Elephas maximus indicus: one gene and its partner. The protein of the gene in region 2 interacts with the protein of the main gene of each other region in a pairwise test. Links are inferred from orthologs where the notes say so. Each region holds a gene or a part of one and is shown on either strand. Other genes may lie near its edges.

Region 1 (8,386 bases), on a different chromosome or scaffold from region 2:
TACATGTAAAAACTGTTGAATTGGTGTATAAATTTGCTCTGTATATTCTCAACAACAACAAAATAAAGAAAATTGAAGAAAAAAGAAAGAGGACATAATGGGAAAACAGGAGAATTCAGAATAAAGTCTTGTAATTTAGTTAATAGTATTGTACCAATATTAATTTCTTAGCTTTGATCATTGTACCATGATTCTATAAGCCAGGTGAATGATATAAAGGAACTCAGTACTATCTTTGCAACTCTTCTGTAAGCCTAAAATTATTTAAAAATATAAAGTTTTAAAAAGTACTCTGTGTGAAATGGCTAGCTCACAGTAGGCACTTAATAAATGGTAACCCGTTAACCCGTTGCCATCAAGTCGAGTCCAACTCGTAGCAACCCTATAGGACAGAGTAGAACTGCCCCACGGGGTTTCCAAGGTGGTGGATTCAAACGGCCGACCTTTTGGTTGGCAGCCTGAGCTCTTAGCCACTGTGCCACCAGGGCTCCTAATAAATGGCAAATGTTGTAATTATGAACAGCATAGTGTTGAATCAAAGAAATACTTACTGATGGCAAAGTCACTGACATGGAGCCATTAGTTGGCCTTGTTGGTGCAACAGAAACCATTCCAGCCACAGCTGTTGCATGACCTTGGCTGAAATATTTTATAAAACTAGGTCTTTACACTTGAGGAGGCTTCTGGGAATTGAAATGTGCAGCTGTTTATATGCTCATTATCTGTTCAGATGCTCATTAGCCAGTCTTCCTTCATGGGCTCAGACTGGATTTCTCCCTGATATCACGAGTTTCCCCAGCTCTGCAGCTGAATAAACCTTGGACTTGGACCTGCTAATCTGAGGGGGTTTTTAGCCACAACAATTGATAGACCAAAATGAACAGCGTCTTGTACTCTATATATTTGATGTTCCTACCCTGCAGTGACAAGAGGCTCATCCCTACCTCACACTCAGTTACTGACAGGTGGAGTTGGCTTCAGCAGCCAAGGAAAGAGAGATCAGCATGCATGTAGCCCAGAGACAGTTCCTCCCCTAGGGGTCAAATCAGCCGAGAAACTTTGATTGCATTGGCAAAACAATAAGAAGTGTAAGAAATTTCTCCTCACTTAGGAAAATTTCATTCAACAGAAATACAACACATACTGATTAAGGACCTTCTATACGCTTTTTTTTTTTTTTATACGCTTAACCCTGGGGATGAAATAGGGGTCTAGCCCCCACCTTCACAGAGCTTACAGTCTTGTGGGTGTTAAATAAGCAGAAACAATAAAACGTGGGTAAGTGTTGTGAATTTCAGGGCGGTACAGAGACCCAGACCTATGAGTTGGAGTCGACTTGACAGCACCTAGCAACAACAACAGAGCACTGGGGGCAGCTGCTGGGCCTTCAGTGGTAGAGTTCTCACCTTCCACACGGGACGCTGGGGTTCCGTTCCCGGCCAATGCGCCTCATGCAGAGGCATCACCTGTCTGTCAGTGGAGGTTTGCATGTTGCTATGATGCTGAACAGGTTTCAGCAGAGCTTCCAGACTAGGAAGAAAGACCTGGCAATCTACTTCTGAAAATCAGCCAGTGAAAACCCTTTGGATTACAACAGTCTGATCTGCAACCAGTCATGGGGATGGCAGGTGACTGGGCGATGTTCCATTTCTTTGTCTATGGAGTCACCCGGAGTCGGAGGCCAACTCAACAGCAGCCAACAACAACAACAAGAGAGCACTGGGCTGCTGGGAGAAGGAACCCCAGCTTTGCCGTTCATGCCACTGGTGAGTTGGGGGTGGAAGTCAGTCAGTGAGACGCTGTCTTAGTTCAGGCAGGTAGGCAAGCCTCTGATAAAGGTGCTGTCTACACATGGGCCTGGACACATTGAGCCCGTCCCTACCCTGGACTCCTGGGAGACGTGCAGTAAGCGCTTAGAGTGGGTGCTGATTTGCATCGGGGTGTGAATGTATCGTTCTGTCTGATCTAATCCGATGTAATGTTAAATTCAAGTTTTCTCCAACAACTTTTATGGAGTGCTTAAGACAATCTGGAGCCCTGGTGGCGCAGTGGTTAAGAGCTTGGCTGCTAATCAAAAGATTGGCAGTTCAAATCCACCAGCCTCTCCTTGGAAACCCTATGGGGCAGTTCCACTCTGTCCTATCGGGCCGCTATGAGTCGGAATCAACTCGATGTCAACAGGGTTTTTGGTAAGACAATCCAGGCACTATGATTTACATAAATTAAGTTGTTTAATCCTTACAACAACCCAATAACGGAATGACTATCACTATACGCATTTTATAGGGGAGAAAACTAAGATATACCTAGAAAGGAAGAAGTAACTCGCCCAAAGTTACACAGGCACAGCCAGTAAGCGGCAGACCCAGACTTTGAACCTAAGAAGTCAGCCTTCTATTCTGCCTCTCCAAGAGAGGTAAAAGCCCTTGGGCATTTTCACAGAGGGCTAGGAGGGTACACTGGCAGTTCCTACAAGCCCTAGGCACGGGCTTCCTCAAGGCTGCAACCCCAAGGATCACGAACCTGGCGCTACTGCCTACTTCTGCTGTTACTTCCTGCCTTCTCCCACAGCCTCTAACCTTGGCCTGTGAGATGTCACCAGGGAGCAGGCATGGCTGTGGTCTGGAAACAAGCCTCTGGTCAGCCAGACTTGGAATGGGGCCAACTCCTTACATCCCACAGAGCAGCTGCCCATAGTAGAACCCAAGGCAGAGGTCAGGTGGGCGATTCTCTTCCTCAGAGCCACTTATGCTGCCATCTGAGAGCCCTGAAACCAACTCCTCACGGTATGACCTGCTGGTCTTGATGGCCAGTGTAGTTACAGTTTCTGGGTCAAATGCCTATGTGGGATGCCTGAATACTCAATGTATATCCTGTGTATTTGGTGTATTTGGCCCCAGTGTTTATTTTGGGGGTGGGGAGAGATAAGATGTGGCTAGGTCAAGTGGATGAGAGGAGATGCAGGGATGTTTCCTATCCAAGGACTCGGCCGAGTGGTATTTCTACCCAGATAAATTCCGCTGAATGCTGGCACAAGAACATTCTAGAAGAGATGCCAAATTCAATATTGAACAATGTTCTGAGATCCTAGAGTTTTGGAAAGTAAAACCCATGCTCTCAAAAATGCCTAGCAAGGGACATCTGTAGAGACAGGAGATAGGTTAGTGGTTGTTTGGTGGGGGCGGGGGTGAGTAGCATGATAGGCGGGTGATAGCTAAAGGATATGGGGTTTCTTAAGGCGATGAAAATGTTCTAAAATTGACTGTGGTGATGGTTGCACATGTCTGTAAATATACTAAAAACCACTGAGTTGCACACCTTAAATAGGCAAATTGCATATGTGAATGATATCTCAATAAAACTGTTAAAAAGAAAGAAAATGAGGATTTCAGCCCCGTACCATGAAAGAGCTAAATTCTGCCAACAACCATGTGATCTTAGAAAAGAACCCTGAGTTCCAGAAAGGAACGCAGCCTGGCCAACACCTTGATTTCATTTCTCTCTTACAAATGCAGCAATGAACAGCCTTGTAAGTGTTACCTTGTGTACATGTACGAGTGTTTTTGAAGGATATGGTATACAAGATGGATTTGATTAATATATATTGTCAAATTGCAAAAAAAAAAAAAAGTTGAGAATATTCCTCTGAATTCAGTATCTTACATTCACCCTTTTCAATACTACTTTCCATTAATTTGGCAGCCAGTAATCTGATAGTCTGTATAACTGCCTATTCAATAACACACCAGCAGTTCTTTGCTGATTTTCAAACTTCAAGGTACTCAGATATCCCCTTTCAGTTCCTGACAACACCAGTACCTAATGACAGCACAGAAACGTCCCTAGCCAGGCCTTCTCTCTGCCCTGTAGCCAGCCGCAAGCTAGCCCCTCTCGCTCTCATGCTCACACTCTTCCTTCATGTCTATTTTTAGTTTTCCTGGCTCAAGCATCTTCAGGCCACTGAAACACAACCCTCACTCTCTTTCTCTCCCTCTGGCATGCATGCTGCTGGTAAGAGCCCCCCAGATAAAAATTGCTTCAGAAATCCTTTATTGCCCCTTCCTCAGGAAGAATCTGTTTTCAAGCTGGATATAAGCTGGACGACCTTCTGATGGGCTTTGAACTTTGAACTGGATGTGGACATCTTTCTCTCAGATGACAGAATCACTTCAACTTCCCCTTTGCAGCAGCTTCCTTCCCTTGGAGGTAGCTGTATCTTGTTTTCTGTAAAAAAAAAAAAAACCTTTCCTTCCCAAGTTGCCTGCCATGCCAACTGTCATCAGCGCGTCTGTGGCCCCACGGACTGGGGCTGAGCCCAGGTCCCCGGGACCAATCCTCCACCCAGCCCAGGGCAAGACCACCGAGGCTGGGGGTGGAAATTCAAGCGGCATCTATTCGGCCATCATCAGCCGCAATTTTCCGATTATCGGAGTGAAAGAGAAGACATTTGAGCAGCTACACAAGAAATGTCTAGAAAAGAACGTTCTGTATCTGGATCCTGAGTTCCCACCGGATGAGACCTCTCTCTTTTATAGCCAGAAGTTCCCCGTCCAGTTCGTCTGGAAGAGACCTCCGGTGAGTAGGTTGCTGGTTGCTGGTTGCTGGTTGGGTTTTTCCCCTCAAAGACGTCCTCCCACTCAGCACCTCCCCACAGCTCAGCTGCCCACATGGGCACTTCGGGAATTTTCCTGGCCGTGGCTCTGTCAGCCTCTGTCCTCCAGTGTGATGGGGGAGGGGAGGGGGGCCTTGGATGGCATCAAATCTCTACAAAATTCACCTCCAGCATGGGGGAGGCAGCGCTGATTCTCATTCTCTCTCTCTCTTTGAAATGATCTATTTCTGAAATAATCTTTTTTTTTTTAATTTTTATTGTGCTTTAAGTGAAAGTTTATGAATCAAGTCAGTCTCTCACACAAAAAGTTATATACACCTTGCTACATACTCCCAGTTAATCTCCCCCTAATGAGACAGCCGGCTCTCTCCCTCCACTCTCTCTTTTCGTGTCCATTTCACCAGCTTCTAACCCCCTCCACCCTCTCATCTCACCTCCAGGCACGAGATGCCCACATAGTCTAAAGTGTCCACCTGATCCAGGAAGCTCACTCCTCACCAGCATCCCTCTCCAACCCGTTGTCCAGTCAAATCCATGTCTGAAGAGCTGGCTTCAGGAATGGTTCCTCTCCTGGGCCAACAGCAGGGCTGGGGGCCGTGGCCACTGGGGTTCCTCTAGTCTCAGTCAGACCATTAAGTCTGGTCTTTTTGCGAGAATTTGGGGTCTGCATCCCACTGCTCTCCTGCTCCCTCAGGGGCTCTCTGTTGCGTTCCCTGTCAGGGCAGTCATTGGTTGTAGCCGGGCACCACCTAGCTCTTGTGGTCTCAGGCTGATGTAGTCTCTGGTTTATGTGGCCCTTTCTGTCTCTTGGGCTCATAATTACCTTGTGTCCTTGGTGTTCTTCTTCTCCTTTGACCCAGATGGATTGAGACCAATAGATGGATCTTAGATGGCCGCTTGCTAGCGTTTAAGACCCAGACACCTCTCTCCAAGGTGGGATGCAGAATGTTTTCTTAATAGATTTTATTATGCCAGTTGACTTAGATGTCACCCGGAACCATGGTCCCCAAACCCCTGCCATGCTGGCCTTCGGAGCATTCAGTGTATTCCGGAAACTTCTTTGTTTTTCATTTAGTCCAGCTGTGCTGACCTTGCCTGTATTGTGTGTTGTCTTTCTCATCACCTAAAATAGTTTTTATCTACTATCTAATTAGTGAGTACCGCCTTGCCACCCTCCCTCCATCCTCCATCTCGTAACCATCAAAGAATATTCTCTTCTCTGTTTAAACTATTTTTTGAGTTCTTATAATAGTGGTCTTATACAATATTTGTCCTTTTGCAACTGACTGATTTCACTCAGCATAATGCCTTCCAGATTCCTCCATGTTATGAAATGTTTCACAGATTCATCGCTGTTCTTAATTGATGAATAGTATTCCATTGTGTGAATAGACCATAATTTATTTATCCATTCATCTGTTAATGGGCACCTTGGTTGCTTCCATCTTTTTGCTATCGTAAACAGTGCTGCAATGAACATGGGTGTGCATATATATGTTCCTGTAAAGGCTCTTATTTCTCTAGGTTATATTCCAAGGAGTGGGATTGCTGAATGGTATGGTAGTTCTATTTCTAGCTTTTTGAGGAAGTGCCAAATCCATTTCCAAAGTGGTTGTACCATTTGACATTCCCACCAGCAGTGTATAAGTATTCCAATCTCTCCACAGCCTCTCCAACATTTATTGTTTTGTGTTTTTTGGATTAATGCCAGCCTTGTTGGAGTGAGGTGGAATCTCATTGTAGTTTTAATTTGCATTTCTCTAATGGCTAATGATCTTGGGCATTTCCTCATGTATCTGTTAGCTACCTGAATGTCTTCTTTAGTGAACTGTCTGTTCATATCTTTTGCCCATTTTTTAACTGGGTTATTTGTCTTTTTGTAGTTGAGTTTTTACAGTATCCTGTAGATTTTACAGATCAGGCACTGATCAGAAATGTCATAGCTAAAAACTTTTTCCCAGTCTGTAGGTAATCTTTTTACTCTTTTGGTGAAGTCCGTAGATGAACATAGGTGTTTGATTTTTAGGAGCTCCCGATTATCTAGTTTTTGTTCTGCATTGTTAGTAATGTTTTATATACTGTTTATGCCATGTATTTGGGCTCCTAAAGTTGTTCCTATTTTCTCTTCCATGATCTTGATCATTTTAGATTTGATATTCAGGTCTTTGATGCATTTTGAGCTCGTTTCTGCGATTTTTCTGCGCATGGAGTGAGGTATGGGTCTTGTTTCATTTTTTTTTTTTGCTGATGGATATCCAGTTATGCCAGCACCATTTCTTACAAAGACTGACTTTTCCCCATTTACCTGCTTTGGGGCCTTTGTCAAATATCAACTGCTCATATGTGGATGGACGGATTTATGTCTGGATTCTCAATTGTGTTCCGCTGGTCTATGCATCTGTTGTTGTACCCGGACCAGGCTGTTTTGACTACTGTGGCGGTATAATAGGTTCTAAAATCAGGTAGAGTAAGGGCTCCCACTTTGCTTTTCTTTTTCAGTAATGCTTTACTTATCCAGGGCCTCTTTCCCTTCCATCTGAACTTGGTAATTTGTTTCCCCATCTCATTAAAGAATGTCGTTGGAATTTGGATCGGAATTGCGTTGTATCTATAGATTGCTTTTGGTAGAATAGACATTTTTATAATGTTAAGTCTTCCTATCCATGAGCAAGGTATGTTTTCCCACTTTTATAGCTGTCTTTTGGTTTCTTGCAGGTGTATTGCAGTTTTCTTTGTATAAGTCTTTTACATCTCTGGTAAGATTTATTCCTAACTCTTTCATCTTCTTGGGGGCTACTGTAAATGGCATTGATTTGGTGATTTCCTCTTTGATGTTCTTTTTGTTGGTGTAGAGGAATCCAAGTGATTTTTGTATGTTTATCTTGAATCCTGATACTCTGCTGAACTCTTCTATTAGTTTCAGTAGTTTTCTGGAGGATTCCTTAGGGTTTTCTGTGTATAAGATCATGTCATCTGCAAATAGAGATACTTTTACTTCTTCCTTGCCAATCTGGAGGCCCTTTATTTCTTTGTCTAGCCTAATTTCTCTGGCTAGGACCTCCAGCACAATGTTGAATAAGAGCAGTAATAAAGGGCATCCTTGTAGGCTTCCCATTCTCAAGGGGAATGCTTTCAGGCTTTCTCCATTTAGGATGATGTTGGCTGTTGGCTTTGTATAAATGCCCTTTATTATGTTGAGGAATTTTCCTTCTATTCCTATTTTGCTGAGAGTTTTTATCATGAATCGTTGTTGAACTTTGTTAAATGCCTTTTCTGCATCAATTGATAAAATCATGTGGTTCTTATCTTTTGTTTTATTTATGTGATGGATTACTTTAATTGTTTTTCTAATGTTGAACCATCCCTGCATACCTGGTATGAATCCCACTTGGCCATGGTGAATTATTTTTTTGATATGTTGTTGAATTCTATTGGCTAGAATTTTGTTGAGGATTTTTGCATCTAAGTTCATGAGGGATATAGGTCTGTAATTTTCTTTTTGGGGGTGTCTTTACCTGATTTTGGTATCAGGGATATGCTGGCTTCATAGAATGAGTTTGGGAGTATTCCGTCCTTTTCTATGCTCTTAAATACCTGTAGTAGCAGTGGTGTTAACTCTTCCCTGAAAGTTTGGTAGAACTCTGCAGTGAAGCTGTCTGGGCCAGGGCTTTTTTTTTGTTGGGAGTTTTTTTTATTACCTTTTCAATCTTTTCTTTTGTTACGGGTCTATTTAGTTGTTCTACTTCTGTTTGTGTTAGTTTAGGTAGGTAGTGT
Region 2 (9,148 bases):
GACGCCACATTTCAAAGTGGGATGCAGAATGTTTTCATAATAGAATTATTTTGCCAATTGACTTAGAAGTCCCCTTAAACCACAGTCCCCAAACCCCCGCCCTTGCTCCGCTGACGTTTGAAGCATTCAGTTTATCCCGGAAACTTCTTTGCTTTTGGTCCAGTCCAGTTGAGCTGACCTTCCATGTATTGAGTATTGTCCTTCCCTTCACCTAAAGTAGTTCTTATCTACTAACGAATCAGTAAATAACCCTCTCCCACTCTCCCTCCCTCCCCGCCTTGTAACCACGAAAGTATGTGTTCTTTTCAGTTTATACTATTTCTCAAGATCTTATAATAGTGGTCTTATACAATATTTGTCCTTTTGCCTCTGACTAATTTTGCTCAGCATAATGCCTTCCAGGTTCCTCCATGTTATGAAATGCTTCACAGATTCATTACTGTTCTTTATCGATGCATAATATTCCATTGTGTGAATATACCACAATTTATTTAACCATTCATCTGTTGATGGACACCTTGGTTGCTTCCAGCTTTTTGCTATTGTAAACAGAGCTGCGATAAACATGGGTGTGCATATATCCGTTCATGTGAAGGCACTTATTTCTCTAGGGTATATTCCGAGGAGCAGGATTTCTGGGTTGTATGGTAGTTCTATTTCTAACTGTTTAAGATAATGCCAGATAGATTTCCAAAGTGGTTGTACCATTTTACATTCCCACCAGCAGTGTATAAGAGTTCCAATCTCTCTGCAGCCTCTCCAACATTTATTATTTTGTGTTTTTTGGATTAATGCCAGTCTAGTTGGTGTGAGATGGAATCTCATCGTAGTTTTAATTTGCATTTCTCTAATGGCTAATGATCGAGAGCATTTTCTCATGTATCTGTTAGCTGCCTGAATATCTTCTTTAGTGAAGTGCGTGTTCATATCCTTTGCCCACTTCTTGATTGGGTTGTTTGTCTTTTTGCGGTTGAGTTTTGACAGAACCACATAGATTTTAGAGATCAGGTGCTGGTCGGAGATGTCATTGCTGAAAATTCTTTCCCAGTCTGTAGGTGGTCTTTTTACTCTTTTGGTGAAGTCTTTAGATGACCATAGGTGTTTGATTTTTAGGAGCTCCCAGTTATCTGGTTTCTCTTTGTCATTTTTGGTAATGTTTTGTATTCTGTTTATGCCTTGTATTAGGGCTCCTAAGGTTGTCTCTATTTTTTCTTCCATGATCTTTATCATTTTAGTCTTTATGTTTAGGTCTTTGATCCACTTGGAGTTAGTTTTTGTGCATGGTGTGAGGTATGGGTCCTGTTTCATTTTTTTGCAAATGGATATCCAGTTATGCCAGCACCATTTGTTAAAAAGACTATCTTTTCCCCAATTAACTGACACTGGGCCTTTGTTAAATATCAGCTGCTCATATATGGATGGATTTATATCTGGGTTCTCAATTCTGTTCCATTGGTCTATGTGCCTGTTGTTGTACCAGTACCAGGCTGTTTTGACTACTGTGGCTGTATAATAGGTTCTGAAATCAGGTAGAGTGAGGCCTCCCACTTTCTTTTTCTTTTTCAGTAATGCTTTACTTATCCGAGGCTTCTTTCCCTTCCATATGAAGTTGGTGATTTGTTTCTCCATCACATTAAAAAATGACATTGGAATTTGGATCGGAAGTGCATTGCATGTATAGATGGCTTTTGGTAGAATAGACATTTTTACTATGTTAAGTCTTCCTATCCATGAGCAAGGTATGTTTTTCCACTTAAGTAGGTCCTTTTTAGTTTCTTGTAGTAGTACTTTGTAGTTTTCTTTGTATAGGTCTTCTACATCTTTGGTAAGATTTATTCCTAAGTATTTTATCTTCTTGGGGGCTACTGTGAATGGTATTGATTTGGTGATTTCCTCTTCGATGTTCTTTTTGTTGATGTAGAGGAATCCAAGTGATTTTTGTATGTTTATCTTATAACCTGAGACTCTGCCAAACTCTTCTATTAGTTTCAGTAGTTTTCTGGAGGATTCCTTAGGGTTTTCTGTGTATAAGATCATGTCATCTGCAAATAGAGATAATTTTACTTCCTCCTTGCCAATCCAGATGCCCTTTATTTCTTTGTGTAGCCTAATTGCTCTGGCTAGGACCTCTAGCACAATGTTGAATAAGAGCGGTGATAAAGGGCATCCTTGTCTGGTTCCCGTTCTCAAGGGAAATGCTTTCAGGCTCTCTCCATTTAGAGTGATGTTGGCTGTTGGCTTTGTATAGATGCCCTTTATTATGTTCAGAAATTTTCCTTCCATTCCTATTTTGCTGAGAGTTTTTATCATAAATGGGTGTTGGACTTTGTCAAATGCCTTTTCTGCATCAATTGATAAGATCATGTGGTTTTTGTCTTTTGTTTTATTTATATGGTGGATTACATTAATGGTTTTTCTAATATTAAACCAGCCTTGCATACCTGGTATAAATCCCACTTGGTCATGGCGGATTATTTTTTTGATATGTTGTTGAATTCTCTTGGCAACGGCGGGAACTTTTGAACTCCAAGTCAAGTGCTCCCTCCCAGCACCACCAGGATGCCACAGTCATGAGGTCACACAGTCCAGGACCGACCCATCGATCACTTCCTGTGCAGAAAAGCTGCCCAGGAGCCCTGATCCCTGAGAGCTCTCCCACCATGGAGTAGACCCGCTGAAAACGCACAGAATATAATGTGAAAGCTTCACACTTTTCCATTTCTTTCCCACTTTTACGGTTTATGAAGTTGGAAGCATCCATTTTTAATTTTAACTTCTGAAGTCCCTCTGAAGATGGAAAATGTTACTGGAAAAAAGTTAAAAATCGACTATTCGAAATTCACAAAACCAAGTAAGCATAAAGCAAATGGAAATAATGACAGCTTTACGTGATGTTGCGTTTGCGTTTGTGGCATTGACGATCCAGAGGCCATCAGAGCTTAAAACTGCACCAAGACGGGGACAGCTGTATTGGCTGCACTTGCTGCACACTCTGGCCCTCAGACCATCTGACTTTGAGGACAGCCCTGCCAGGCGCGTTTTCTTGTGCCAATTGCACGGTCGGGAAAACCGAGGTGAGAGGCGCCCTGCCCAGGGCCGCCCAAGAACGTCTGAGTCCACGCCATGAGCACAAATCTTAGTTCTGCCCTCGTACCTGTGCGACCCTGGCAGAGTCCCTGGACCTCTGTCAGTAAGAAGCGCGATCACAAAGACACCGAGAAACACCACGCCCCCGGGGCGCGGGCTGGACCGGGCTGTGAGCCTGGTGCAGCAGGGCCTCCCCTAGCGCCCCGGTGCCACCTCCCTCCCAGGCGACCCCACCAAGACCCCAGGGTCTCCCTGGGCCCCCAGCCCTCCAGCCCAGCACCATTGAGCCTGCTGTGGGAAGCTAGTCCCTGGGGTCTCCATGCTTGGCTGAGGGTCGGTACAGTGAGCTCGGTCCGGCGGGCGGCTGGACCCAGCGGGTTCGGCAGGGTGCTGGAGGCCACGCCTCCTTCCCTCCTGGAGCGCGGTCCAGGGTCGGGCGGTCACGTGCCCCGGGCGGGTGGGCAGCAGGGCAGTGGCTGGATCCGGGCACTCACCAACTAGGGGTGACCCTGGCAGGGGGAGACGCGGGCCGGGCTGGGTGGGGGGGCCCGGGGCTTCGGGACCTCCTGGGAGTCCCGCCCGGTTCCAGGGCCTGCAGACCCGGACCCAGCTGGCCACCCCTCCTCCAGGCCTGGCCGGGGTCACTCACCTGATGGGCAGCTGGTGGAGGTGGCCGGCGAGCCTAGCCGGCGGTGCACGAGAAACTGGGGTCACAGCGCCCGCTGCGGGAGCGGGACACCCGTCGCCTGTGGGGACTTGAGAGGCAGTGAGCGGCGAGGGGGAAGCGAGGGTATTTCACCGAGCGGCGGCGGGCGGGGCCGGGCAGTTACTTTCATAAGCGTGACTCAGCAGGCCCTGGATGAATGAACTTGTACACCCGGGGCGGGTGCACGCTGCGAGCCAGGGCGGCCTTGAAGGGGCCCCGGGGCGGGCACCTGCCTCCCACCAGCCGGGCCCCGCGCTGGCTCTCTCATTCCACTCAGATTCCACCCCAGGCGCCTCTTCCCCACCCCAGCCCCCAGCCTGCCCAGGCTGCAAGTCCCCCTCTGCACCTACTGGCTGGGGGAGGCTGGGCAAACTGCTCATGGCCGACCCTCAGTTTCCTCATCTGAAAAATGGGGCTAAGGAACAGCCTCTCCTGCCTGTGGTGGGTATAGGCTTAAATGACACCACTTGTCTCCCTCCCATGCTGACCACAGGAAGCCCCTCCCAGTTTAGATCCCATTTTCTTCCTTACGTTTCTTCTTTAGCAGGTATCCCTTCGCACCTCACACATTGCTGGTTATTAGTTAGTCTTGTTCTTGTCTCTGTCCCTAAACCAGAATGTGGGCACAGTGTGGGCAGGGAGTTATGTCTCCTGTGTCTAGAATAGTGCCACACACAATAGTGGGCACTCAAATTTTGTTGAAAGGAAGGAAGGAAGGTAGAGCAGAGTCTGGTCCATAGGGCTCAGGACCTATTAGCTATTATTTCCATTACTGATGCTACTGTCTCCTCATCACCACTTTAGGCCTGGGGGCACCCCTGACAGCCCTGTTCTGCTGTGTGGCAGTGGGGGCCACCAGTGCTGGAACCAGGGTGGGGCAGGTAAGGCACTCACCTGGGGCACAAAATTTAAGGGTCTGTCAAAAAAAACTCAGTAACCAAGAAAATAGTATTTTAAAGCAATTTGTTTGAAAAATCAAAATTAATGTAAAAAAATCCACGGTGAATGAAATATCAACGTTTAAGATAAACACAGGATTCAAGACAGTCCCAACCCAAGTCATATTAGATCCAGAGTCAAAAGGAAAAATCAGGAATACTGATGCTGTCTTCACTGAAAATTGTGGTATTCTCTTCATCATAGATGTTTTGCATTCATTTCGGTTGTTTAAAAAATTGCATTCATGCATTATGTGTCCTGATTATGGAGTGTTTTGGACCCCTTAAATGTTGTGCCTGAGACAAGCATCCCACTCCCCTCACCCTAGCCTGGCCCTGGCCCTGGTGGCCACAGGGGACCCGGGCCGTGCCCTGGAAGAGCACAGGAGTCCGAGGTTTCATTTCACATCCAGCTCTGCAATCACGTGGCCCAAATGGGCTCAGCCCCTTCCAGGCTGGCTGAGCTCCCGGGAGATACGCCCCCTCGGAACCTCAGTTTTACCCATGTGAAAATGGGCATGCATAATCCCTTCCTCCTGTGGTCATGGGCAGTGATGACCCAGTGGGGGGTCATATGACACAGCCTGTGGCCTATGGCAGAGGGACATCTGCCCTCTGTTCCAGGCCTCAGCTCCCGGCTTCTAGACCCACTGCAGGTGTGCTGTGTGACCTTGGGGGGTGGCCTCCCTCTCTGGGCCTCTGTCCCAGCTGTGGCCTTCGTGACACCCTTGGAGCCCAGCAATGACCAGTGAGGGCCCGAGGCCAGCAGCTCTGGCACGTACCTCTTGTTCACACGCCATTGTCCCCTAGCAGCTGCCTCTCTGTCTCCACTTCCCCATCCCAAGGTGCTCCGCCTGCAACTTCCCCGTTTTCAGATATGTAAACTGAGGCAGAGAGAGACACACACCCAGGGTCAGAGACTGAGGGTGAGGCTGTAGGGGCCAGGATGGCAGGGTCCGCAGAGGAGAGATCGAGAAGGAGGCCAGCTTCCCAGAACCCTGTCTCCTGGGCCCTGCCCACCCCTTCTCCCCACAGCCTGCTGCCCCCGCTGGCCATGACCCCCCTTTCTAGATTTTGAAAAGTTGCTGATAACTGGGAATCATGGTGACACGTGGACTTTCTTCCCTGCCGCCTTGTTTACCAACCATGTGATTAGTGGAAATAGAATTTTTTTAGTTGTTTCTGGAAAGCTCCACTAAGACAAAGAGATAATGTGACAAACCATGAAGGGGCAATGGAGAGAGGGAGCCACGGAGACAGGAAGAACAGGCCTTTACAGGCTGTCCTGGGGGACGCATGCTCTTGGATCCCAATGAACACCCCTAACTCCCTTCCAACTGCCTGGCCCAGCTCATGGCCATAAGCTACTCGTACCTACTGAGCGTGGAAATGTGAGATGTGCTGGAGTATGGCTGACAGATTTAACAAGTAGAAATACAGGACACCCATGTGAATCTGAATTTCAGAGAAACGCCAGTTGATTTCTAGTATAAGTATATCCCATGCAATATTTGGCTATTAAAAAAAAAACAAAACCCATTGCTGTCAAGTTGGTTCTGAATCATAGCGACCCTATAGGACAGAGTAGAACTGCCCGATAGGGTTTCCAAGGAGTGCCTGGTGGATTCAAACTGCCGACCTTTTGGTTAGCAGTCAAGCTCTTAACTACTACCCCATCAGGGTTTCCTATTCGGATATATATATAAAACCCTATACTTATCCTAAAACAAGTCATCATTTATCTGAAATTCAAATTTAACTGGACAGTCTGTATTTTATCTGGCAGCCCTCGCTGGATTTTGAATACACACTGGATTTTGAAGAATTAGTTTTTTTATTAAGAAGAAGAAGGTAAAATATCTTATTCCTCTTTTTTTTTTTTTTTAACATGGATTACAAGACGTAATGAAAATATTTTGGATGTATTGGGTTAAATAAAATATGTTATTACAATTAACTTCACCACTTTATTTTGTTTGTTGAATGTGGCTATTAGAAAATGTAAAGTTACACAGTGACTGGCATTATACTTCAATGAGACAGCGAAGCTCTTGACCTTGGTGCCTGCTGGTGACATAAACCAGAACATTCCCAGGTCCAGCACTGAAAGTCCTGCCGTGTCCCAGGCAAAGCAGGATGGTTGGTCACCCTAGAGCACTGCAAGTGGATGGGCAGTGTAACCTGGGAGAGGTGCTTTCCTTCTGTGCCTCAGTTTCCCCATCTGCGCACTGACGCTGCTAGCAGGGAGCTTGCAGGTGACACACGGGAGAAGCTCGAACCCTGGCAGCCTGTTGTGCTTGGTATGGCAGCACCCCCCACCCCAGGGCCCTGCAGGATGCTCAGGAGCTGTGGAATGGATGGGAAAGGGTGGGGTGGCACAAAGAGCTTCCCTGGGGGTCTTGGTCCTGAGACAAAACCCCCTACCTTCCATCAAAACTGCACTTCCTGTCTCCCTAAGGAATCCCAGAATCATCCTAAGGGGCTGCTCCTGAGCCCTGCTCATCCGTTCTGTCCCTCTGGTCCTTGCCTTCTTTGTCCTCAGCCAGGGGCTCCCACAGATGCTGTCCTTTGCTGGGCACCTTCAGGGCCGGGCAGTGTGAACAGAGGATTCCTTACATCCAGATGAGGCTCAGAGAGGGTGATCTCGGGCCTGAGGTCACACAGTGGCCGAGCCAGGGCTTGAACCCAGGGATAAAGTCTGACAGACAAACGGTTACCTCCTTCCTGTCTCAGGAGCAAAGGCAGGGGTTGGGGACCCTGTCTACGTTCCCAGTGTCATGGTGGGCAGCCTGAAGACCCCGCCTACCACCACAGCTGCCCAGTCTTTACCAAGTGCCCGGTACTGAAAGCACGTTCCATGGACCAGCCAATGCACTGGATTTGCACAACGGTCCAGCGAGGAAGGTACAGCGCCATTACCCCATTCTACAGGTGAGTAAACAAGACGCAGCAAGTTAAGGCAGGCCCCAAGTTCACGGTGAGTGGCAACACTGGCAACACTTAGTTGTGCTGGGGCTCTGTCAGGAAGAGACCAGGCCAGTCCAGTACATGATACGCTAATATTTGTGCAGTGCCTCACTGTTTACAGAGCCTGGTTGTCTGCGTTATTTCATCGATTCTCCCGACAGCCCAGAGAGATGGGCAAATATTTTCAACAGCAATGTTTATTTTACAGATGAAGAAACCAAGGTTCAGAGAGGCCAACAAGTTTGCCCAAGGCCACCTGGAAATGAAGGGTGAGGGCACTCAGACTTTGGCCTGTCTGGAGGACAGAACCCAGAGCAGCAGGCGGGGCCTCCAGGGCTTGGCCTGGAGGGAGAGGAGAACGCTTGGCTTGGGTTTGTCCTGGGGTCTGGAATCACCGCAGACCCCTGGGGGAGATGCTGCAAAAGCTGAGAAGGACACACAGCCACACAGAGAGAACTGGGGTGGGGAGGGCCACAGAACAAAGGAGCCCAAGAGGGGTGCGGGGGTGGGGGGTGCGGAAGGGCATCTGCTCAGGGTGAGACAGGAGGCCCCAGCAGACACATGAGACATTCCTTGCTCCCCCAATTCCTCCTTCTTTTCCTTAAAATCCGTTGCCGTCAAGTCAACTCAGAGTCATAGAGACCCTATAGGACAGGGTAGAGCTGCCCCGTAGTGTTTCTAAGGCTGTAATCTTTAAGGGAGCAGATTTCCAGGTCTTTTCTCCCACGGAGCAGCTGGTGGGTTCAAACTGCTAACCTTTTGGTTAGCAGCCGAGAGCTTAACCACTGCACTACCAGGGCTCCCTTTTCCTTAAAAACCAGGGGAAAGTTCCCGCAGGAGAGGGAATATATCTGCCTCAGGGGCAGGGTAGACAGGATATGTAGAAGGTGTGTGAAAGGCTTCTCTTTGGAGGCAGACAAGCTGGGACTCTGGCTCCCTCACTTTCAGATGTGTGACTGTGGGCAAGTTACTTTACCTCTCTGAGCTCCACTTCCTTGTCTGTGAGATGGAGGTCACGACACCCACCTCTGGCAGAGCAGTGCTTCTCATCCCTGGCTGCATACTGGGATCATCCGTGGAGACTTAAAGAATATACTAACGCCCGGAGCCCCAGTCTTACAGATTCCGATGACATGGGTCAGGGATAGGGCCTCGGAGTCTGCATTTGCACCCCAGGTGCTTCCTGTGTGCAGCCTGGGCTGAGATCTTCTGTCCCTGTGGCCACTGGAGGATGAGCTGGTATCAACACAGAAATCACCTAGCCCATGAAGGGGCTCCAGGCCTTAGACCTCCCACCCCTGTCACCCCATTTTTCTGTAAACCTCCTTCCTTATACTGTTACAGGAACCGTGATGGGGACTAAGAGAGAAATACGTCTTCAGAGGAGCCAGGAGCGAGCTGGTGACCCTGGTGGGGGACTCATGAGAAGCCCACAGCCCACTGACACCAC

Evidence for each region.
Region 1: the proteins of OSGIN1 (region 2) and CAPN3 interact in binary tests that used the Homo sapiens proteins (3 or more experiments, as listed by UniProt). The two-hybrid records come from large-scale screens. The link is inferred for Elephas maximus indicus from reciprocal best matches to the Homo sapiens genes OSGIN1 and CAPN3.

Annotation. Positions count from the first base shown.
Region 1 is NC_064828.1:13,640,860-13,649,245, reverse strand, and holds the start of CAPN3 (calpain-3), read left to right. Parts: upstream 1-4,249; 5' UTR 4,250-4,266; coding exon 4,267-4,575; intron 4,576-8,386. UniProt on the Homo sapiens protein: Calcium-regulated non-lysosomal thiol-protease. Proteolytically cleaves CTBP1 at 'His-409'. Mediates, with UTP25, the proteasome-independent degradation of p53/TP53.
Region 2 is NC_064839.1:49,938,180-49,947,327, reverse strand, and holds the start of OSGIN1 (oxidative stress-induced growth inhibitor 1), read right to left. Parts: upstream 3,872-9,148; 5' UTR 3,737-3,871; intron 1-3,736. UniProt on the Homo sapiens protein: Monooxygenase catalytic activity. Involved in regulation of cytokinesis; promotes RHOA activity, probably acting locally at the midbody in late cytokinesis.